Schizosaccharomyces pombe: one gene and its partner. Changing the gene in region 1 together with any one later gene gives a genetic interaction. Each region holds a gene or a part of one and is shown in the gene's direction. Other genes may lie near its edges.

Region 1 (4,687 bases):
CTCGCACCGTTGATCTCTTCTAGGGTTTCAACGAATGATACAACTAATGTTGCCGGTATTCGAAGCCAAAGATCATTTACTACTCATATCGATTTGAAAAAGCTTACCACGAGGCAAAATGGCGCAAAAAAATCATCGTATACTGGAACTAATCCATGCGTCTTAAATTATTTAAATAAAATTTATGCAGAAGCAGCGGCTTCGACACTTAACGTTGGTGCTGCTGTTTCACCAAGCTGGGCTTCTAATATACCTTTGCGTCGTAGAACAAAGGTGTCTGCGAAGGCTGCGAATAAAATAGTTCAGACTCATGAATGGCATCCAGAAGGATCACGAGTTGCTCAGATATATTTAGGAAGCCTTCTTGATGGAGGTACGAAGAAAGTTTTGGTTAGTCCAGATTCATCTTTTTTCGTTACCTTGGGATCTGACGGTGTTGTAAGAGCATGGCAATTAGTTGAAAGTGTTCGTCATATTTCAACTATGAGATGTGAATGCCGATTAAGTTATGGGCATACGCGACGTAATGGCGAGAGGAATAGATTTTCTGTGGTCAATGGATGCTTTCTAGGTAATACATACGCTTTTGCTTCTGTTACTCAAGATGGCTCTGTGGAAGTTCACAGACTTGACGTTAACAATCAGCGGCATACTCTAATTTCGGCTGGTCGTATTCCCAATTTGGATTTCAGTGATTCTGTAACCTCCATGGAAGCTTCTACATTTCACGACGGGAGTATCCGTCTAGTCGTTGTTACAAAATGGTCACGCATCGTATACTTAGACGTGGGAATGATGAGGGTTTTGTCATCAGACCAATTACCATTACAGTGTGGGTCAGCTACTAGTGTAGTAGTTTCTGAGGGTTGTAATTGGGCTTTAATTGGGACTACCAAAGGATGGCTCTTACTTTGGGACCTCCGCTTTGGGACATTATCATGCTCTTGGCATATGCCAGCCAGGATTGATCAGATGCATCTTCTTTTAGATGTTACCAAAAAACGTAGCAACGTTAATGAGTATACTTCCGGAAATAACAATAGTCCCGTTACCAAGGTTCCAGGTAGCTCAAGTACAAGTTCAAGTAGTACTCAGCCAATTAACTCTACTATTCCCATCAATCCTTTAGAAAATCACGGAATGTTAAACTCGTTTGGAAGCACTACAGTCAGTATCAGTTTTAGCGTCCTTACCAACTTGGATAATAAAGAAGTTAATCTTGAAGATGCAGTTCCAGCGAGTCACAGATCCGCTTCAGGCATAGTAAATTTTGACGTTGAAAAAGGGAAAACCGAAGAGGTTTTCTTAGAAAACTGGAATTCTTCACTCACCAGTCCGATTCCGGTATCTGTTGGAATTGATGCTTTTAATGAAAAAAAAAAGTTTGATATAGATTCTGGCAATGACATGGGATTAAGAGATTTGAATACCAAATTCGACTCTCCTTGGCCTTGTATATCTAGTCCAATCTATAGGTACAGAGGTCCGTCTGCAGGTTCTGTCGAACGAGAGCCACTTTTTCTCATTGCCGCTTCTGGAAGCCCTCATGCGTTTATTTGGAATCCCCACAATGTCTCTGCTAGTTCGTCGGTGACCAACGACTCCGAGAGTTCAAAACTATCTTTAATACATAACAAACCTCCTATCTACCAAAAAGTCTCTGAACAACAGAATGTACGCCCAAAGTCTTCGGGAGTGTCAAGGCCTCTTCTATTCCTTCAACAGCAAAAGAATCTACCTAGCGAAAATCGTCTGCACCCCATCGTTGACATGGCCTTCTTGTACCAACCGTACGCTATAGTGCTTATTGTTGACGCTTTTGGTAGTCTTGAACTCTGGACCTAGTTTCTTTTAGTATTCCTCATATATTTATTAGATTTGTATGCATATTCTTTAATACCATAAATTCCATCTGATAGTCTTCAAATCTAACCGACTTGCATTCAAATAGTGAAATATAAGGCATCGTTAATCACTACAAGTGATGTACTGTAGTTTTTTCCACATCCCTTTTGCCAAACAGCTAAAAATTCAAGTTGCATGCTATAAGTCGCAAGGATGGACCGTCGACATCGTGTTTACCGTGTGTTTAACCAGGAGATGTATGTCGAGCCTAATTTTAAGGTATGAGATATTTGGGTAACTGCTGCATTTGCAAAACATTTTGTTTACTTGACAGAAAATCGCATCTGCTTGAACTTTTAGGAAAACTAACATAGTTTAGGTAGTGAAGGAGTTGGGTCAAGGCGCTTACGGCATTGTTTGTGCAGCAAGAAACGTGGCTAGCAAAGATCAAGAGGCTGTAGCCATAAAAAAAATTACGAATGTGTTTTCTAAATCCATTCTTACAAAAAGAGCTTTGAGAGAGATAAAACTGCTGATTCATTTTCGTAATCATCGTAACGTAAGTCTTTTATGCAAAAACGGCTTCCTGTGATTGATTACTCATCATCACCGGGATGTATTAACGAGGTGCATTTTGATGAAAATGCAAATTTTTATACAATGAAAAGTCTTCTATGAGAAATGAGTTCTAATCATCCTTGAAAAGTATTTCCTTTATAAATCTTGATATAATGTTTGGAATTCGGTTGATTAAAAAATTTGAACTGCTCATTGTCTTACATTTGCATAGTGATGTCTTTCCTATTTTTTATAAACTTTACTAACATGGTAGATTACTTGCATTTACGATCTCGACATTATAAATCCATACAATTTTAATGAAGTTTACATTTACGAAGAGTTGGTATGTTACGCGATGATCCACATATGGTGTCTGTTTTAGTCACGGAAATATTTGTATAATTACTTACTAACTATTATAATAGATGGAGGCCGATTTGAATGCTATTATTAAATCCGGTCAGCCATTAACGGATGCGCATTTTCAATCATTCATTTACCAGATACTTTGTGGTTTAAAGTATATTCATTCTGCCAACGTTATTCATCGTGACTTAAAGCCAGGTAATCTTTTAGTTAACGCTGATTGTGAGCTGAAAATTTGCGATTTTGGCCTCGCTCGCGGATGTTCTGAAAATCCAGAAGAAAATCCTGGTTTTATGACGGAGTATGTGGCAACGCGCTGGTACAGAGCTCCGGAAATTATGCTTTCGTTCAGCAGCTATCATAAAGGTATTGATGTTTGGAGTGTTGGTTGCATTTTGGCAGAGCTATTAGGTGGAACCCCTTTGTTTAAGGGAAAAGATTTTGTTCATCAGTTAAATTTAATTTTGCATCAACTTGGCACACCTGATGAGGAAACCCTGTCTCATATAAGCAGTTCCCGTGCACAGGAGTATGTTCGAAGCTTGCCAAAGCAAAGACCTATTCCTTTTGAAACCAATTTTCCTAAAGCCAATCCTTTGGCTCTTGACCTGCTTGCTAAGCTCTTGGCTTTCGACCCCAACAGACGTATTTCGGTTGACGATGCTTTAGAACATCCCTATTTAGCTGTTTGGCATGATCCCTCTGACGAACCTGTGTGTGATTCCGTCTTTGATTTCAGCTTTGAATACATTGAGGATGCAAATGAGTTACGCCGTGTCATTTTAGATGAAGTTTTAAACTTCCGTCAGAAAGTCCGACGCCGCTCTCATCCAACAAACCCAACAGTCAACATCCCGCAACCAGCCCAAACCGTTCCATCTAATGACAATGGTTCTTTCAATGTTAGTAGCTCTTCATCCTCTCAAACCTCTAACAAAAAGCGCCATGATCATTCTTATAATGAAACTGCTGCTATAGACCATAAGTCTGATGATAATCGCCATAACTAATACATTGGCAGCAGCTGGTTTTATTGAGCCTTTTTACGGTAACATTTGCATACAAATCATTCATTGCGTTTTCTCATTTTTACATAAATTAGCTATTGCTATCTTTTGAGCTTTGCTGGCTACTGTCGAATCTCTGTTTGCTCGTTTAATTTCCATAAAAAATACTCATTTGCATTAGTCCTTCATTTACTGTTTTGCATATAATATTTGGCGATCTTTGTGCTCCCTTTTCTTGCACGCTTTATAGTCTCACAGCTTGAAACATTTTGTTATACATACATGCATGCATATACACCCGTACTACAACTAGAAAAATATATAAATAGAACAGCTAATTACTTAAAAATATTACTTTTACTAGTGAACGAGTATATCTGTGGTAGAGTAATTTCCTTTATTAGGGAACATCCCAATGAAATCACAAAACTAACTAACCAAGACAAAATAGATGAATAAATACATCAGTCATGAATTTGTATCCTGCAACAATTAAACAACATTCGTGCACAAGGATAGCTCTCTTCAAGTAGAAGCGTCTTATAATGAAATGCAAAGCGGTCGAATATGAAATTATGTGCATATTTTTATAAATCAGAAAAAATATGTAAGATGATATTCGAGACGCGAATGAAGTTTTACAATAGAAAGGGAAAGCCTTTACAAATACCTGCAAAAAAGGTCGTACAGATTCCGTTGTTTTTTGGGAAAGCAAATCATGATGCGCAAATCCTATATAAAAGGAACAGTTTTTTTTAGGAGAAAATTTTGGCAATTGCCGCTATGGCATCCATTACTAGCAATGAAATAAAGCAGAAGGCGGGCGACCTTGATTCCAGTAAAGGCTAACGGGAAAAATAAAAGGGAAAAACGACGTCACAAATAAGTGAACAAAAAGTCATTAATGG
Region 2 (4,144 bases), on another chromosome or scaffold:
TTAACAGCGGCACGTAATCGTTCTTGTAATACGCTTGGAGATAATTTTGCCCAAGCAGCAGTTGGTGGAAGAGCAGAACTCTCTTCGTGATGAAGAATAGTTGTTGCATGTCCAGGAACGACGTTTACAGAAGCAGCAGAAGAATAAGGGGCAGGAACGCTGGTAGCAGTGTTATTAGTGGATAAGGAAGGTGTCATTGACACTTGTGGATGAACATGATCAACTGTTGTAATATGCTGATTTTGTGCAGCTGGACTACTATTAGCCTCTTCTAACGGTGTTTTCGTAACAGGAAGTAGAGGTGTTTTGAATGGAAGAGAAGGAGAAGGAGAATGAGTAGCACCATTTACCACATTAGGTTTAGTGGAAAGAGGACGGGTATGTTGAAGAGATGCCAAGTCTTCTTTAGTATAACTATCCACCTCGTCACCGGGTTCATGTAAATACATGCAAGAAGGATTGGGGCATTGCTGATTCCGTAAATAAGAAGTGCAATATTTAGTGGTACCATAAGATGCGCGAAGATGTCGCCCATCACTTACGCTGCCATCAATTGCAGCAATCGCTCGTGCAGCATCTTCTTTTCTTTGGTATGTAATATAAACTCCAACATGACCATTTGCAGAATTTGCAGCAGCCTTCTTATTTATTGCAATTTTAATAATCTTTCCGTATTGACCAAAGTATTCAGGTCCCTTCAGAACGTTGATATTCTCCTCATTTGCAACTTTGGGAGAAAGGCCGTTTACATAGGCAAGGTTCTTTTGTACAACACGAATATTTGCAAGATGCTTCCTGTTTGAAAGCTCGACTTCCTTCCTCTCTTTCTCGCGTTTCTTCCTCTCGTTTTTTCGATGTAAGTCCATCTTCCATCTAAAAACATTAGCGACATGTTTAAAAATAAAAGTGAATTTAAACAAGATTATGCTTAAACAAGAATTCTATAATCTGAATTACATACTCCTCTGCCGTGACAGGCCGCCATTGAACATTTTCTTCAGTGTACAGACGGCGACATGCAGGACAACGGCCATTTAGATCTTCTTTGATATGGTGCCAGCAAAATCTACAAACTCTGTATCCGCATTGGCATGGTTTGAAGTTTTTATCAGAGATATCAATTTCTTCCATACATAGAGGACTGTTGCAATTGTCAGTTAATTTTGATACTAATCGGCTAGTAAAACATACCAACACATGTCATCCTCATCTTCTGAAGAATATATCTCTTGCGTTTTTAACATTTTGTGTGAAATATGTCAAATCTCCGTCACAGTGCTCTCCAAATCGATACTGTTTAAGGTCGCTCGTTATACAATACAGAGGAAGTCTTCAAATATCTTAAATCAAATCTTTGATTTTAATTTAATTTAGTTAATTCCCTTAATATTCATTAGACTTCAAACAAATATTTTTTAAAGGGCAAACCGAGTTGTGGTTGGTTATAAGTTTACTTACAACTTAGTGTAAAAGAAGGAGGCAATGACTAGGTGAGAGGTTGGATTTGAACAGTATATACCACACGAAAAATAGCAATTAATAGACATGAATTAAGAAATTTGAGAAAATTCTTATTCCAAAGGTTTTTGGAATTGTGTTTGAACAACAAAAAGTACCCTTAAAAGTTTCACCGTCTATAATTTCATCTTGATAATTAATTGCAGTAAACGTTTGTAAACGAATGTATTATATATACAACTTTTTCACGTTGTGGTCAAATTCTTTAGTTATTTCATCTTCTAAGTAATTAGTGAATATATTGAATTGACGAAAAAACGATGAACAACATAATAAGAGGCATAAAGTGCTTCTCTACTTAATTTACGCTCCATGTTCCATCAAATGGATAATAGTTTTTAACAAAATGTTCAAATATTTTACATATAGAAGGGAATTTATTCTTATGATAATCATTTATACTAAATGCTCCTCTCGAAAATCAGATATCTTTAAGTAGTTTTCTAAGTCTAATTGCAACGACGTTTGGCGTTCAAAGACTTGTTGTAACTTAGCATCTTCATAACAGCGTTGCTTCACTATAATATACTTACAACCTCGACCATTGTTCTTTTTTACGATAACCATTAATTTTACCTTTAATATTCCTTAAAACATTAAGGATAGTATTGATATTTCTAAGTGCTAACCGTCGCGTATTACATGTTGCTTTGCTCATAGCATGGGAAGTATCTAATGGCATCCTCTATAAACAATTCATCTCAACCTACAGTACCTTCAATTTCTAATAATAGTCATGGCGACTCTTTCGTAAATGAAGGTCCCCCTTCTAATTTTAAAAATAATTCTTTAACATCATCAACTCACTCTTCAACTGACCATGTAAATGTCTTGCCAATTAGCCAAGACAAAGAGATGGATATAAGTTCTCCAGTGAAAAAACAAAAAGCTAGTTATTCGAATAAATCTCCAAATAAAGCACCTATTCAAAAAAGCCGGGGTAGTTCCCTAAAAAGTCATCTCGAAACCGAATCTCAACAAACTCCTGTAAAGCGACGGAGACGAAAAGCGACTATACGCAACGTCGACTATTGTAGTGCATGCGGAGGAAGAGGTCTTTTTATTTGTTGCGAGGGATGTCCTTGCAGTTTCCATCTTTCATGCTTGGAACCTCCCTTGACTCCTGAAAATATTCCAGAAGGATCTTGGTTTTGTGTGACTTGCTCAATCAAATCGCATCACCCTCCTAAGCACCCTCTTAGTATATGGTCCCAGCTTTACGATTGGATTGATTCTCAGAATCCCTCGCAGTACCGATTGCCCGACGACCTTGTGCATTATTTCCATGGAATATCTCGTGGGGATACAGGTGCTTATAAGGAAACTGAAGGAGAAATGGATACTGACGAGTTTTCTGCTTTGCCGACTGGCTCCTCTATCACTAATCTAGCTTACTGTGGTTATTGCTCTAAGCCATCAATGGGTGCTTGTTGGGTCTATGGTTGCCAGCTGTGTGACACCTTCTATCATAAAAATTGTAAAGAGCATGCTAAAAAATGCTCTCATGACTCCATTGGAAAAAAAGGTATGAGAGTACCAAAAAACGCCGTGGTGATAAGGACGCCCTTGGTGTTGGATACAACTTCTAATACTCTTAATCCTAAAGTCATGATTTCAGGATGGCAATTTCTTATGGGAGAGTTTCCAAGTGATGAACTTCTCTATTTCCCAAGATTACCCGTGAGTTGTCTCTACAAAGTTTCAGAAGACGGTCTCATCAAAGATTTTTTGTACGCGATTGGCATAGAAGCTAAAAAGTTTAATAATGAAAGGAAAAAACGAGAGTTAGAGGTTATTCCTCCAGACGTAAAAAGCGCACTACTTCCTGCGAGAACGCACCCAAACCTACCTATTGCACTACGCACTTTATTCAATAAGGCACGCACTTGAATTTTTACGATATTTTTACATTTTGTATAAAATCAGACTACGTTAATCTAATCTGTCGTGTTCAAATCGTCAGAAAAGGTTGTTTTCTGTTATTTTTTTGCTAATGTTGTATTTATAAAACCTCTTAGAACTGGCTATCTGTTGTAATTGGCTTATTTTACATTACTTTTCTCCATTAAGGCTTTTAAAAAATTTTCGTTATGCAATTAATCATTGCAAATCCTTCCTAATAGGGCAAAAGTTCTATTTTATACTAACAACTTCTCAATACTTAAATTTTATACGCGTATTGTACCGTGTGAGTATATATAAGTATATATAAGTATATATAAGTATATATGAGTAAGATGCATTTACTAGACAAAGAGGAATAAAATAAAAGAAAGTGATAAGGAAAGGTTCTATTACTAAAGTCTATTTAACAGCCATATCAATGGTTTAAAACGCTTACAGACCAAACGGTCCATAAAACTTGAACACCAAAAATATCAACAAATAAAAGATATGTTGGCATTCGTAATTACAAGTAAGCAAATACTTATTAACTAGAACCTAGTAGGTTCGTCGAACTTGCTTTCATCATCACCAACCTGACTTCTAAAGTCTTCAAAGTCGGTAGCGTTGCTTTCTCTTCGTTTGTATTGAGCAAAGACATTCCATTCTTCAAGATACGAGGAAGAGTATAAGTTCGGAAGATTAGAAAACGAAGGTAACATGGCAGAACCGGCATTCTGTA

What was found.
Region 2: mutations in pmk1 (region 1) and cph1 together harm fitness more than expected from each alone (negative genetic interaction), as found in Schizosaccharomyces pombe (2 studies listed by BioGRID).

What each region holds. Positions count from the first base shown.
Region 1 is NC_003423.3:728,802-733,488, forward strand, and holds pmk1 (MAP kinase Pmk1), read left to right. Parts: upstream 1-2,014; 5' UTR 2,015-2,058; coding exon 2,059-2,124; exon of another isoform or gene 2,125-2,224; coding exon 2,225-2,404; intron 2,405-2,677; coding exon 2,678-2,749; intron 2,750-2,831; coding exon 2,832-3,782; 3' UTR 3,783-4,151; downstream 4,152-4,687. Other genes in the region: serine/threonine protein kinase Vps15, read left to right, coding at 1-1,845. UniProt on the Schizosaccharomyces pombe protein: Regulates cell integrity and functions coordinately with the protein kinase C pathway (pck1 and pck2). Involved the regulation of wall architecture, cell shape, cytokinesis in exponential and stationary phase, and metabolism of ions.
Region 2 is NC_003424.3:797,357-801,500, forward strand, and holds cph1 (Clr6 histone deacetylase-associated PHD protein-1 Cph1), read left to right. Parts: upstream 1-2,010; 5' UTR 2,011-2,193; coding exon 2,194-3,408; 3' UTR 3,409-3,625; downstream 3,626-4,144. Other genes in the region: CCR4-Not complex subunit Mot2, read right to left, coding at 1-873, 962-1,141, 1,192-1,244; ATP-dependent RNA helicase Upf1, read right to left, coding at 3,954-4,144.